Linked DNA regions of Saccharomyces cerevisiae S288C. The protein of the gene in region 3 binds, or shares a complex with, the protein of the main gene of each other region. Each region holds a gene or a part of one and is shown on either strand. Other genes may lie near its edges. A codon is read from its position in the direction of its gene.

Region 1 (4,001 bases), on a different chromosome or scaffold from region 3:
GATGAAATCTCACTGGGTTCCTAACACCATCAAGGAAAAGAGGTTCGCCAACTGGATCGCCAATGCCCGTGACTGGAACGTTTCCAGAAATAGATATTGGGGTACTCCAATTCCTTTATGGGTTTCAGACGATTTTGAGGAGGTCGTCTGTGTTGGTTCTATCAAAGAATTGGAAGAATTGACCGGTGTGCGTAACATCACTGACTTGCATCGTGATGTCATTGACAAATTGACAATTCCATCCAAGCAAGGTAAGGGTGACTTAAAGAGAATTGAAGAAGTTTTTGATTGTTGGTTTGAATCTGGTTCTATGCCTTATGCTTCTCAACATTATCCATTTGAAAACACAGAAAAATTTGACGAAAGAGTTCCAGCTAATTTCATCTCTGAAGGTTTGGATCAAACAAGAGGTTGGTTCTACACGTTAGCTGTCTTAGGTACCCATCTATTTGGCTCTGTTCCATACAAGAACGTCATCGTCTCTGGTATTGTCTTAGCTGCCGATGGTAGAAAGATGTCTAAATCCTTGAAAAATTACCCTGATCCATCCATTGTTCTGAACAAATATGGTGCGGATGCATTAAGATTGTACTTGATAAACTCACCTGTTTTAAAAGCTGAAAGTTTGAAATTCAAAGAAGAGGGTGTTAAGGAGGTTGTTTCAAAGGTCTTACTACCATGGTGGAACTCCTTTAAATTTTTGGACGGTCAAATTGCCTTGTTGAAAAAGATGTCTAACATCGACTTCCAATATGATGATTCTGTGAAAAGTGATAATGTCATGGACAGATGGATTTTAGCTTCTATGCAATCTCTAGTACAATTCATTCACGAAGAAATGGGTCAGTACAAATTATACACTGTCGTTCCAAAACTTTTGAATTTCATTGATGAATTGACAAACTGGTATATTAGATTTAATCGTCGTCGTTTGAAGGGTGAAAACGGTGTTGAGGACTGTTTGAAAGCATTAAATTCTTTATTCGATGCCTTATTCACATTTGTCCGTGCCATGGCTCCATTCACCCCATTTTTGTCAGAAAGCATTTATTTGAGACTGAAGGAATACATCCCAGAAGCTGTCTTAGCAAAATACGGTAAGGACGGAAGATCAGTCCATTTCTTATCTTACCCAGTGGTCAAGAAAGAATACTTTGACGAGGCCATCGAAACTGCAGTTTCTAGAATGCAATCCGTTATCGATTTGGGTAGAAACATTCGTGAAAAGAAAACTATTTCCTTAAAAACTCCATTGAAGACTTTGGTCATCCTTCACAGTGATGAATCATACTTGAAGGATGTAGAAGCCTTGAAAAACTACATTATCGAGGAATTAAATGTTCGTGATGTTGTTATCACCTCCGATGAGGCAAAATATGGTGTTGAGTATAAAGCAGTTGCTGATTGGCCTGTATTGGGTAAGAAGTTGAAAAAAGACGCAAAGAAGGTTAAAGATGCCCTACCATCAGTCACTTCTGAGCAAGTACGGGAATATTTGGAAAGCGGAAAGTTGGAGGTTGCCGGTATTGAACTGGTTAAAGGAGATTTGAATGCTATTAGAGGCTTGCCAGAATCTGCTGTCCAAGCTGGACAAGAAACCAGAACCGACCAAGACGTGTTAATCATCATGGATACAAATATTTACTCTGAACTAAAGAGTGAAGGTCTCGCAAGAGAGCTGGTCAACAGAATCCAAAAATTGAGAAAGAAGTGTGGTTTGGAAGCCACCGACGATGTTTTAGTGGAGTACGAATTAGTTAAAGATACTATCGACTTTGAAGCCATTGTCAAAGAACATTTTGATATGTTAAGCAAGACCTGTAGATCCGACATTGCCAAATATGACGGCTCAAAGACAGACCCAATTGGTGATGAAGAACAATCTATTAATGACACCATTTTCAAATTAAAAGTGTTCAAATTATGAAAACAACTCATATAAATACGTACAAATTTTTCTCTACTCGAAGTGATATAGATGTATATGTGTAAGTTTACGTTTAAGTTAGAGTCATGTAATGCTAACTGTCTCCACCGATAATGTTGTATAATACCCGTGAAATCATAGCACATGATATATCATCACCCGGAGGCCGGTTATTTTCGGCGGCGGCAAAAATATTTGGTATAATTATGGAAATACAAAAAGGGGAACCATTAAAGGTTGAGGAGGGGATTGATAAGAGAATCTAATAATTGTAAAGTTGAGAAAATCATAATAAAATAATTACTAGAGACATGAAGTCTACATTTAAGTCTGAATATCCATTTGAAAAAAGGAAGGCGGAGTCGGAGAGGATTGCTGACAGGTTCAAGAATAGGATACCTGTGATTTGCGAAAAAGCTGAAAAGTCAGATATTCCAGAGATTGATAAGCGTAAATATCTAGTTCCTGCTGACCTTACCGTAGGGCAATTTGTTTATGTTATAAGAAAGAGAATTATGCTACCCCCTGAGAAGGCCATCTTCATTTTTGTCAATGATACTTTGCCACCTACTGCGGCGTTGATGTCTGCCATATATCAAGAACACAAGGATAAGGACGGGTTTTTGTATGTCACTTACTCAGGAGAAAATACATTTGGCAGGTAGTCTTTTATATGAAAAGAAATGAAGCGTTAACATCTAAAATCGAAATTATAGGGACTCATTAGCCATCTATTGTTCCAGTATAAGAATGTTTACATAAAAAATTCGAAAAAAAAAGATAAAATAAGGGAAAAATATATATATATTCATTAAGAAGTTTTGTACACAACGGAGCCAAGATTTCACCAGTATTTGGAGACAAATGTGAGCACGTTATGGTATTTACTTACAGATTACGATCTGTTCAATGCATCAGAAATAGGAAGAAATTCAAAATAAAATAAAAAAAATATTAGGAAGGAGTGAAAAAGCAAATAAGATGATACAGTAAGGTGGAGTTAATGTCTTTCTTCTCCAAAATGTATTCTTGCTAACCAAAAATCTGATTCTCTCTGACCTGTTCGTTTGTCTTATGTATGTAGAATCAATTTCTTACAGAATTTTAAATACTGTATAGTGGAAAAGAATAATAAATAAATACTCGACTATATTTACCTTTATCTTAAGGAAAAGTTCACTCGATATTCTTAACTTTACCGTCTAGTAAGGCCTCTTTATTACATTAAAATATACACGTACATTACCCTGCTATCTATATGTCGAACATGAATTTTTATTCTTTGTAGAAACAAATCCCCAAATTATTGCCGCTGTTCTTAACGTACTTTTCAATTGGATCATTATCAATTTTGTATTCCTTCAAGTGAATGATATCGTTGTAGGAAATAATGTCCCTAAATTTCCTGTCCGATTTGTACCATTCGTGAATTAACCAGGTCATTTCTTTATTAAATACGGAATTATCGGAATCTGATGTCTCGATTAGTTCTTTTAAAATATAGTACATTTTGTTGAAAGAAACACCCGCTGTTATGAATATAGAAACTATCGACCCTGATACAATATGTTCCTTAGGTAGTGTTTCGTAGAAAAAATTACAGACAATGGGAAAGAGTTCGAAAATGGGGAAAATGAATTCAGAATCCTGAACATTTTTACCAATTTTAATCAGTACATTAGACAGTAAGTTGATGAAGTTCATTGAATCTTCTTTCTTTCCGGTATTATTAAATTCCATCCTCAAAGATTGGAATAGCTCATCCCACTTGGCCATAATTACTTCATGGTCCCTAAAATCTGCTATCTTGAAAATGAATAGGGCAATTTCATGGTAACTTAAGGGTACAGCAAAATCATTAAACAGCTCACTTGTGCTCAATATTTTACCATCTAGAGTTTTGATCAGCTCATCTTTAATGGCTGAATCTATTCTTGCGTCTGTATACACGAGCGACAATATATCACCTTGAATACCAGCAACTTCACATGCATCTTGGATCCTACTAGCTAATTGTACAATTCTTTGTTTCTGGCTTAATGGTGACACACTGTTGCAAAAACCATTGGCGCGT
Region 2 (4,195 bases), on a different chromosome or scaffold from region 3:
AAAGAATAAATAAAAACAACAGGAATGCCTTGGCAAACTCAGCGCAATCCTTTGCCAGCACACTGGGAAGCGGGTTGAGCGGAATTGCACTGGACCCATACAAGGCCATGCAAAAGGAAGGCGCCGCTGGTTTCCTCAAAGGCCTTGGTAAAGGTATCGTTGGGCTGCCAACTAAGACAGCCATTGGATTCTTAGATCTTACAAGTAACTTAAGTCAAGGCGTGAAAAGTACCACCACTGTGCTTGACATGCAAAAGGGTTGCAGAGTGCGTCTACCAAGGTACGTGGACCATGATCAAATCATCAAGCCTTATGATCTACGTGAGGCCCAAGGACAATACTGGCTCAAGACCGTGAATGGAGGAGTATTTATGAATGATGAATACCTGTCGCACGTTATATTGCCAGGCAAAGAACTAGCAGTAATTGTGTCCATGCAGCACATTGCTGAGGTGCAAATGGCCACCCAAGAGCTTATGTGGAGCACAGGATATCCTTCCATCCAGGGAATTACATTGGAAAGATCCGGTCTTCAAATTAAACTCAAGTCTCAATCCGAATACTTCATTCCCATCAGCGATCCTGAAGAACGTCGGTCCTTGTACAGGAACATCGCCATTGCTGTTAGAGAATACAATAAGTACTGTGAAGCTATCCTATGATCACATATGAAAGTATATACCCGCTTTTGTACACTATGTAGCTATAATTCAATCGTATTATTGTAGCTCCGCACGACCATGCCTTAGAAATATCCGCAGCGCGCAAAAGGCGGCCTCGCATTGGCCCAATTAGCTCCGGTGTAAAAAGGGCAAACTTATATAAGGGGATTAATGACTTTCTATGAGAATGCCAAAAAATGTTAGGCTAAAGGAAGGGATTGAAAGGAATATAGTTGAGCTATACTTTCTTGAAATACTGGAGTATACATATTTATAGGGATGTTGAACGTGCTATTGAGAAGGAAGGCCTTTTGTTTGGTGACGAAGAAGGGTATGGCTACTGCCACAACAGCTGCAGCTACGCATACCCCCAGATTGAAAACTTTTAAAGTTTACAGATGGAATCCAGACGAGCCAAGTGCTAAACCTCATTTACAGTCATATCAAGTGGATCTGAATGACTGTGGGCCCATGGTACTTGATGCGCTGTTAAAGATCAAAGACGAACAGGATTCTACCCTAACTTTTAGAAGATCATGTAGAGAAGGTATCTGCGGTTCATGTGCCATGAACATTGGCGGTAGAAACACGCTAGCTTGTATATGTAAGATCGACCAGAACGAATCCAAACAACTCAAGATCTATCCATTACCCCACATGTTTATTGTCAAAGATTTGGTACCTGATTTAACTAACTTCTACCAACAATACAAATCTATCCAACCTTACTTACAGAGATCATCGTTTCCAAAGGATGGAACGGAAGTGCTACAAAGTATTGAAGATCGTAAGAAACTGGATGGTCTTTACGAATGTATTCTGTGTGCATGCTGCTCTACTTCATGTCCATCGTACTGGTGGAACCAAGAACAGTATTTGGGCCCTGCCGTGCTAATGCAAGCCTACCGTTGGCTAATTGACTCTAGAGACCAAGCTACAAAGACAAGAAAGGCCATGCTAAACAACTCCATGTCATTGTACAGATGTCACACCATCATGAACTGTACTAGAACTTGTCCAAAGGGCTTGAATCCTGGTTTGGCTATTGCTGAAATTAAGAAATCTTTGGCATTTGCCTAGACTATCAGAAAAACAGCTAGCCCCGAAGAACTCAGAAGCCTCTCAAATGATTTTGGCACTAATAAAAGCACCAACTATTATTATTATTATTTTCAAGGACGAAACTCACCATTCTCACACATTCCTATACGTTAGGCGTTTATGTTTACTCTCTATGACTATTATTTATTTATCATTGGCAATGCTATGACCCGGTCTGTATATATGTCCATCATAGGCGACAAGGTGTTCTAGTATCTTCAGGTATTGTTGTTTTTAAGGATGAATTTATATCTTTGTTTTTGAAGGGCCTTTTGGCTTCTCTCCCCTATTTATTCAATTTATAACTATTTATTATATTAATACACGCGTAATGCTTAAGGTTTATTATTAAAGGACTGTTTTTATATTTACATGCCTGTAGTTAATTATATTTTCGTTGTGAAATTTCTGTTAAGAAACTCTATATGAAAGGTAACGAACTTAAAATTGAAAAGCAATGAGAAGAGAACACCATGAAAAAAAAAAAAAAAGGGCTAAAAAACAGAATTATCAGACTTGATGATTCCTTACCAGGAGTGGCATAGCCAACTGCAATCGTTGTATGACTCCCAGATTTTCCATAACTGGGCCCTTTGCCAAGATGTCCATTTGAATGATGAAAAGGATGGACTTCTTTTGCGTTTAATACCTACTCGACAACTGCAGAAAAATACTGAGCGTATAGAAAATAAATTACTAAATCATATAGAATTATATCTTACATATTCAAAAGTATATAACGAGCCCTTACTACTTTTGCGAATATGGGAGGAGAAAAGCATAGATGGTATTCCAATGACCAAATTGATGCTCCCAACTGATATCGAATCGCTGCTTGATGTTCAAGGCAAATTCCAACTAGGTTTGGATACTATCATTAACCTGGAAGGTAGCGTTTGGTATTCTTTCCATCCATGCGATACATCATGTATAGTAGGTGACCAGGCTGAGTTCATGTCAACTTACTTAAGACGATGGGTCAGTATTTTCATATTTAGTTGGTTAGGTTATGAAGATTCATAGCTTAACCTAGGAAAGCTTTTTAAAACACTATGCAATCATCTATGTAAATATATATATATATATATATTATACCGGCGGTAGTAAGCAGTATTTTTTTCTATCAGTCTATATTATTTGTTTCTTTTTCTTGTCTGTTTTCTCATGTTACCTTCTTAGCATTACCATAATGCGAATCTTCTGATGATGTGTCGGATAACCCAATAGAATCAGTCGTCGTCGCACCTAGCGAAGCAGTTTCAATGGAATCTTCTTCTTCAAGAATTGTTGGTATACCACCAAACGTTCTTTTGCCGCGCTGAACAGATTTAAATTGCACTTTCTTTTCTCCTGCTTCATTTTCGTTGTCTGAAATAGATGACTTGGTCTTTGTCTTTTGAAGAGCCATTCTTTCTCCAAATTCCTCATCATCATCGTTATTGTATGAGAAGTCACTCAGGTCCGATGTTCTTCTTGCTCTATTTCTCTTCTTCCAACCAGGCCTTCTAAACCAGGCTCTCATAATCATTTCCTTATAAACTGGTAAAGACCAGTTGACTGGAGATTCATGACCCTGATAAATACAGACATCGTAAACCAACCCCCCCATTAACGCACCAATAAATGGGCCTACCATGGGAACCCAAAAGAAATGATGATGATGCACCCAAAGCATTTTATGATCAAATCCAACTGCATATAGTGCAAGACGTGGGCCCAGATCACGAGCCAAATTCATTGCTGTACCTGTCTGATAAGCCATGGAAGCATTGATAATGAAAATCAAAATAAACATCATCAATGGGAAAACATCAGAGGACAAACACGTATAAGGATCGGTCAGCGCAAATGTTCCTGCTTGTAACATAGCTCCACATAAAAATTCGGAAAAAAATTGCCGTCCTGAACTTAGATAAGGCTTTGGAAAAACGCAAAACATTCCCGCAACACTTTCATTCATCCACCAATCGCTATATGCCTCTTGTAACACCCTTTTGTACCAAATAAACAAGATCAAAGCGCCTGTGAAGGCACCGATCAATTGTCCAGCAAAGTAATAAGGAACTTTCTTCAGGGGAAAACCTCTATACACCAAATTGGCTAATGTAATAGACGGATTCAAATGAGCACCTGAGATGGCACTACCACCAGCGCAGAAATAGCCCATCACCACGGCAGCAGCCCAGCCCAATGCCACATCATCAAAGGTACCGCCCGCAACGGATGAAACCAAGGATGTTAAACTCTTCATAGCGTCTATCGTTTCTGCAGAAGACCCGGTAACGTTAAGGTTATCCAAAGCCACGTTGAAATTGTCCTGCTGTATTTTCCCAGCAACATTGACCTGACAAACAACAGCACTACCGAAAATAATCATAACCATTGTTCCCATAAACTCGGCTAAAAATTCCTTCAAATAAGTGTTTTTGACG
Region 3 (4,096 bases):
TGAAAGATTTTTGCAACCACCTGGACAATGGATCAGAGCAGAATTAGAATCTAGAGAATTACTGGCCATTTGTTTGCGTCGTTTGAAGGGCCTAACAAAAGTCAGATTAGTGGATGCTTCATTCATTTGGACAGAACCCCATTCTAGACGTATTAGAATTAAACTTACCGTGCAGGGAGAAGCCATGACAAATACTATTATTCAGCAAACTTTCGAAGTAGAATACATTGTTATTGCGATGCAATGTCCAGACTGTGCCAGATCCTACACTACAAATACTTGGAGGGCTACTGTCCAAATTAGACAAAAAGTGCCTCACAAGAGAACATTTTTGTTTTTGGAACAACTGATTTTGAAACATAATGCTCATGTGGATACCATTTCCATTAGTGAAGCTAAGGACGGGTTGGATTTCTTCTATGCGCAAAAAAACCACGCAGTTAAGATGATTGATTTTTTGAACGCTGTTGTTCCGATTAAACATAAAAAGTCTGAAGAACTTATTTCTCAAGATACACATACTGGTGCATCTACTTATAAATTTTCATATTCTGTCGAGATTGTTCCTATCTGTAAAGATGACTTGGTCGTTTTACCAAAAAAACTGGCTAAATCTATGGGTAACATTTCTCAATTTGTTCTATGTTCTAAGATTTCTAACACTGTCCAGTTTATGGATCCGACTACTTTGCAAACCGCGGATCTGTCACCATCTGTGTACTGGAGGGCTCCATTCAACGCCCTGGCTGATGTGACCCAGTTGGTGGAGTTCATTGTTCTGGACGTGGATTCTACAGGTATAAGCAGGGGAAATCGTGTCTTAGCTGACATTACTGTTGCTAGAACGTCTGACTTGGGTGTTAATGACCAAGTCTACTACGTCAGGTCTCATCTCGGTGGTATTTGCCATGCAGGTGATAGTGTTATGGGTTATTTCATTGCAAACTCGAATTACAACTCAGATCTTTTTGATGGGTTAAATATCGATTATGTGCCTGATGTAGTTCTTGTGAAGAAATTGTATCAAAGAAAGAGCAAAAAGAGCAGACACTGGAAGTTAAAGAGAATGGCTAAGGAACACAAAGATATCGATGCATCCTTAGATTACAATTCAAGAGCTCAAAAGCAAGAAATGGAACGTGCAGAAAAGGACTACGAATTATTCTTACAAGAATTAGAAGAGGATGCTGAATTAAGACAAAGTGTTAACCTATACAAAAACCGCGAAGCAAATGTACCTCCTGAAGAGCATGAAATGGATGAAGACGAGGATGAAGACGCTCCACAAATCAACATTGATGAATTATTGGACGAGTTAGATGAAATGACATTAGAAGATGGAGTCGAGAACACACCCGTTGAATCTCAGCAGTAAAAAAACACCAAAGAATGGAGAGTAGTATATACTCTTAACAAACACTAGCATTTCAGTTTATCTATATACATATATATGGATGTAAAATGTACTTTATGGAAGAACAAGCCACCACATGTTGAAAACTAGATAGGCAAGCAAGATTTTTCATTTGTAGAGCTCTTACGCAAGATTTTTAAACTTCCGCTTTTTTAATCCATGAGATTCCTTTGGACACCCTTTCCGGCACGGCAAAACAAAAAAATTAAGGGAACTCATTATTTTACGATGCTACTTAGATAACTAAAGTTCATTATATTTCAACAAATATAAGATAATCAAGAATAAAATGTCGTCAGAAAGGGTCTTAAGTTATGCACCAGCTTTTAAATCATTTCTGGATACATCTTTTTTCCAAGAATTATCGAGATTGAAACTCGATGTTCTGAAATTAGATTCAACATGCCAACCACTTACTGTGAATCTAGATTTACACAACATTCCTAAATCTGCTGATCAAGTTCCATTATTCTTAACAAATAGAAGCTTTGAAAAACACAATAATAAGCGTACTAATGAAGTGCCTTTACAGGGCAGTATTTTCAATTTTAATGTATTAGACGAGTTTAAGAATCTTGATAAGCAACTATTTTTACATCAAAGAGCATTGGAATGCTGGGAAGATGGAATAAAGGATATCAATAAGTGTGTTTCTTTTGTGATTATTAGTTTTGCTGACCTAAAAAAGTACAGGTTTTATTACTGGTTAGGTGTTCCCTGTTTTCAAAGACCCTCTTCAACAGTTTTACATGTGCGGCCAGAGCCGAGTTTAAAAGGGCTGTTCTCAAAGTGTCAAAAATGGTTTGATGTCAATTACTCAAAATGGGTGTGTATACTGGATGCAGACGATGAAATAGTAAATTATGACAAGTGTATTATTCGAAAAACTAAAGTTTTGGCGATAAGGGACACTAGTACGATGGAAAACGTCCCTTCTGCTCTAACCAAAAATTTTCTCAGCGTGTTGCAATACGATGTTCCTGACTTGATAGATTTCAAACTATTAATTATTAGACAGAACGAAGGTAGCTTTGCATTAAATGCTACATTTGCTTCTATTGACCCACAATCATCCTCAAGTAACCCAGATATGAAAGTTTCTGGATGGGAAAGGAATGTGCAAGGTAAGCTAGCACCACGTGTTGTTGATTTAAGTTCATTGTTAGATCCTTTAAAAATTGCTGACCAATCCGTGGATTTAAATTTGAAGCTAATGAAATGGAGAATTCTTCCTGACTTAAATCTAGATATCATCAAAAACACAAAAGTACTACTACTAGGTGCTGGTACACTAGGTTGTTATGTTTCACGCGCATTGATAGCATGGGGGGTTAGAAAAATAACATTTGTGGATAACGGTACAGTTTCATATTCAAATCCAGTGAGGCAAGCGTTATATAATTTTGAGGACTGTGGAAAGCCAAAGGCAGAACTTGCGGCTGCGTCTTTGAAAAGAATATTTCCTTTAATGGACGCTACTGGTGTGAAATTAAGTATTCCTATGATCGGTCATAAATTAGTAAACGAGGAGGCTCAGCATAAGGATTTTGATAGATTAAGAGCATTAATAAAAGAGCATGATATCATTTTTTTATTGGTGGATTCTCGAGAAAGCAGATGGCTTCCGTCGTTATTGAGCAACATCGAAAACAAAACCGTTATTAATGCTGCTCTGGGGTTTGATAGCTACTTAGTTATGAGGCATGGTAATAGAGATGAACAGTCTTCAAAACAACTGGGCTGTTATTTTTGCCATGATGTGGTAGCACCAACTGACAGTTTAACTGACAGGACTTTGGATCAAATGTGCACAGTAACTAGACCCGGCGTTGCTATGATGGCCTCTTCTTTAGCAGTTGAATTGATGACTTCCTTACTACAGACCAAATACTCTGGTTCAGAAACAACAGTATTAGGGGATATACCTCATCAAATACGTGGGTTTTTGCATAATTTTTCCATCTTAAAATTAGAAACTCCAGCCTATGAGCATTGTCCAGCATGTAGCCCTAAAGTTATCGAAGCATTTACAGACTTAGGTTGGGAATTTGTTAAAAAGGCCTTGGAGCATCCACTTTACCTTGAAGAAATTAGCGGTTTGTCAGTCATAAAGCAGGAGGTCGAACGACTAGGCAACGATGTTTTTGAATGGGAAGATGATGAATCTGATGAGATTGCTTAATATTTTGCATATAATAGCATTGGTACATATTGTGGTGCCACTTTCCGTAATTAAGCTACTAAATTTTTGACTCTAACGTTTATAACATTGAATTATTAAAATGATCTTGCTATACTATTTTGCATACATTATTTTTTGTAGTTTTAACAAGAAGACAAATTCTTGACTTTACTCACAAAACATAAACATAAAATGTAATAAAGTCCTCAATGTTCACCGTATTTTTCAAAAAGGATCAGTGAAAGTGTCGGTAAAGCTACCTTTTTGATACTTTCTTTTTATGAGAATAAGTTGTATTTCTTTATTATGTATGATACGGGCGTTCAATCAATACGTTTTAAGTTCGTTGCTGACGGCTAAGAAATTGGTAAGAGGAGTAGTTCCATCAATGTCTAAAGTGATATGATAAAAACTATACGATTTGAAGATCTATGCGTTCACTTCACGTATCCAAGTTTCCCCTCCTAATAATTCACATTAATTTGGCATTCATATCTAAA

Evidence for each region. The genes of interacting proteins can lie anywhere in the genome.
Region 1: the proteins of ATG7 (region 3) and ATG8 are in contact, whole or in part, in a crystal structure (PDB 3RUI), measured with the Saccharomyces cerevisiae proteins. Residues at the interface, in NP_012041.1 of Saccharomyces cerevisiae: Gly333 (codon at 2,700), Thr334 (codon at 2,703), Leu335 (codon at 2,706), Leu436 (codon at 3,009), Val437 (codon at 3,012), Asp438 (codon at 3,015), Ser439 (codon at 3,018), Arg440 (codon at 3,021), Arg443 (codon at 3,030), Ala460 (codon at 3,081), Ala461 (codon at 3,084), Leu462 (codon at 3,087), Gly463 (codon at 3,090), Asp465 (codon at 3,096), Ser466 (codon at 3,099), Tyr467 (codon at 3,102), Leu468 (codon at 3,105), Tyr486 (codon at 3,159), Cys488 (codon at 3,165), His489 (codon at 3,168), Asp490 (codon at 3,171), Val491 (codon at 3,174), Val492 (codon at 3,177), Ala493 (codon at 3,180), Thr495 (codon at 3,186), Asp496 (codon at 3,189), Ser497 (codon at 3,192), Asp500 (codon at 3,201), Met506 (codon at 3,219), Thr510 (codon at 3,231); in NP_009475.1 of Saccharomyces cerevisiae: Arg28 (codon at 2,320), Glu37 (codon at 2,347), Lys38 (codon at 2,350), Lys46 (codon at 2,374), Tyr49 (codon at 2,383), Leu50 (codon at 2,386), Pro52 (codon at 2,392), Leu55 (codon at 2,401), Gly58 (codon at 2,410), Gln59 (codon at 2,413), Val61 (codon at 2,419), Tyr62 (codon at 2,422), Val63 (codon at 2,425), Arg65 (codon at 2,431), Lys66 (codon at 2,434), Arg67 (codon at 2,437), Pro72 (codon at 2,452), Glu73 (codon at 2,455), Lys74 (codon at 2,458), Ala75 (codon at 2,461), Ile76 (codon at 2,464), Phe77 (codon at 2,467), Phe79 (codon at 2,473), Asp82 (codon at 2,482), Thr83 (codon at 2,485), Leu84 (codon at 2,488), Pro86 (codon at 2,494), Thr87 (codon at 2,497), Ala88 (codon at 2,500), Glu112 (codon at 2,572).
Region 2: the proteins of ATG7 (region 3) and ATG10 are in contact, whole or in part, in a crystal structure (PDB 4GSK), measured with the Saccharomyces cerevisiae proteins. Residues at the interface, in NP_012041.1 of Saccharomyces cerevisiae: Lys14 (codon at 1,743), Phe16 (codon at 1,749), Leu17 (codon at 1,752), Asp18 (codon at 1,755), Thr19 (codon at 1,758), Asp47 (codon at 1,842), His49 (codon at 1,848), Asn50 (codon at 1,851), Ile51 (codon at 1,854), Pro52 (codon at 1,857), Lys53 (codon at 1,860), Ser54 (codon at 1,863), Pro59 (codon at 1,878), Phe61 (codon at 1,884), Arg65 (codon at 1,896), Asn71 (codon at 1,914), Asn72 (codon at 1,917), Arg74 (codon at 1,923), Lys94 (codon at 1,983), Arg135 (codon at 2,106), Tyr137 (codon at 2,112), Asn276 (codon at 2,529), Val277 (codon at 2,532), Gln278 (codon at 2,535), Ala282 (codon at 2,547), Pro283 (codon at 2,550), Val285 (codon at 2,556), Val286 (codon at 2,559), Asp287 (codon at 2,562), Leu288 (codon at 2,565); in NP_013058.1 of Saccharomyces cerevisiae: Gln12 (codon at 2,316), Tyr15 (codon at 2,325), Asp16 (codon at 2,328), Gln18 (codon at 2,334), His21 (codon at 2,343), Asn22 (codon at 2,346), Gln27 (codon at 2,361), Asp28 (codon at 2,364), Val29 (codon at 2,367), His30 (codon at 2,370), Leu31 (codon at 2,373), Asp33 (codon at 2,379), Glu34 (codon at 2,382), Lys35 (codon at 2,385), Leu39 (codon at 2,397), Arg41 (codon at 2,403), Glu64 (codon at 2,472), Arg81 (codon at 2,523), Trp83 (codon at 2,529), Ile88 (codon at 2,544), Asp89 (codon at 2,547), Gly90 (codon at 2,550), Ile91 (codon at 2,553), Pro92 (codon at 2,556), Met93 (codon at 2,559), Thr94 (codon at 2,562), Lys95 (codon at 2,565), Leu96 (codon at 2,568), Leu98 (codon at 2,574), Pro99 (codon at 2,577).

What each region holds. Positions count from the first base shown.
Region 1 is NC_001134.8:78,969-82,969, reverse strand, and holds ATG8 (ubiquitin-like protein ATG8), read left to right. Parts: upstream 1-2,238; coding exon 2,239-2,592; downstream 2,593-4,001. Other genes in the region: isoleucine--tRNA ligase ILS1, read left to right, coding at 1-1,927; NUP170 (Nup170p), read right to left, coding at 3,203-4,001.
Region 2 is NC_001144.5:50,678-54,872, reverse strand, and holds ATG10 (E2-like conjugating enzyme), read left to right. Parts: upstream 1-2,282; coding exon 2,283-2,786; downstream 2,787-4,195. Other genes in the region: membrane morphogenesis protein VPS13, read left to right, coding at 1-662; succinate dehydrogenase iron-sulfur protein subunit SDH2, read left to right, coding at 942-1,742; FPS1 (Fps1p), read right to left, coding at 2,926-4,195. UniProt on the Saccharomyces cerevisiae protein: E2-like enzyme required for the cytoplasm to vacuole transport (Cvt), autophagy and nucleophagy. Acts as an E2-like enzyme that catalyzes the conjugation of ATG12 to ATG5.
Region 3 is NC_001140.6:444,010-448,105, forward strand, and holds ATG7 (Atg7p), read left to right. Parts: upstream 1-1,703; coding exon 1,704-3,596; downstream 3,597-4,096. Other genes in the region: ribosome-binding protein NMD3, read left to right, coding at 1-1,375. UniProt on the Saccharomyces cerevisiae protein: E1-like activating enzyme involved in the 2 ubiquitin-like systems required for cytoplasm to vacuole transport (Cvt) and autophagy. Activates ATG12 for its conjugation with ATG5 and ATG8 for its conjugation with phosphatidylethanolamine.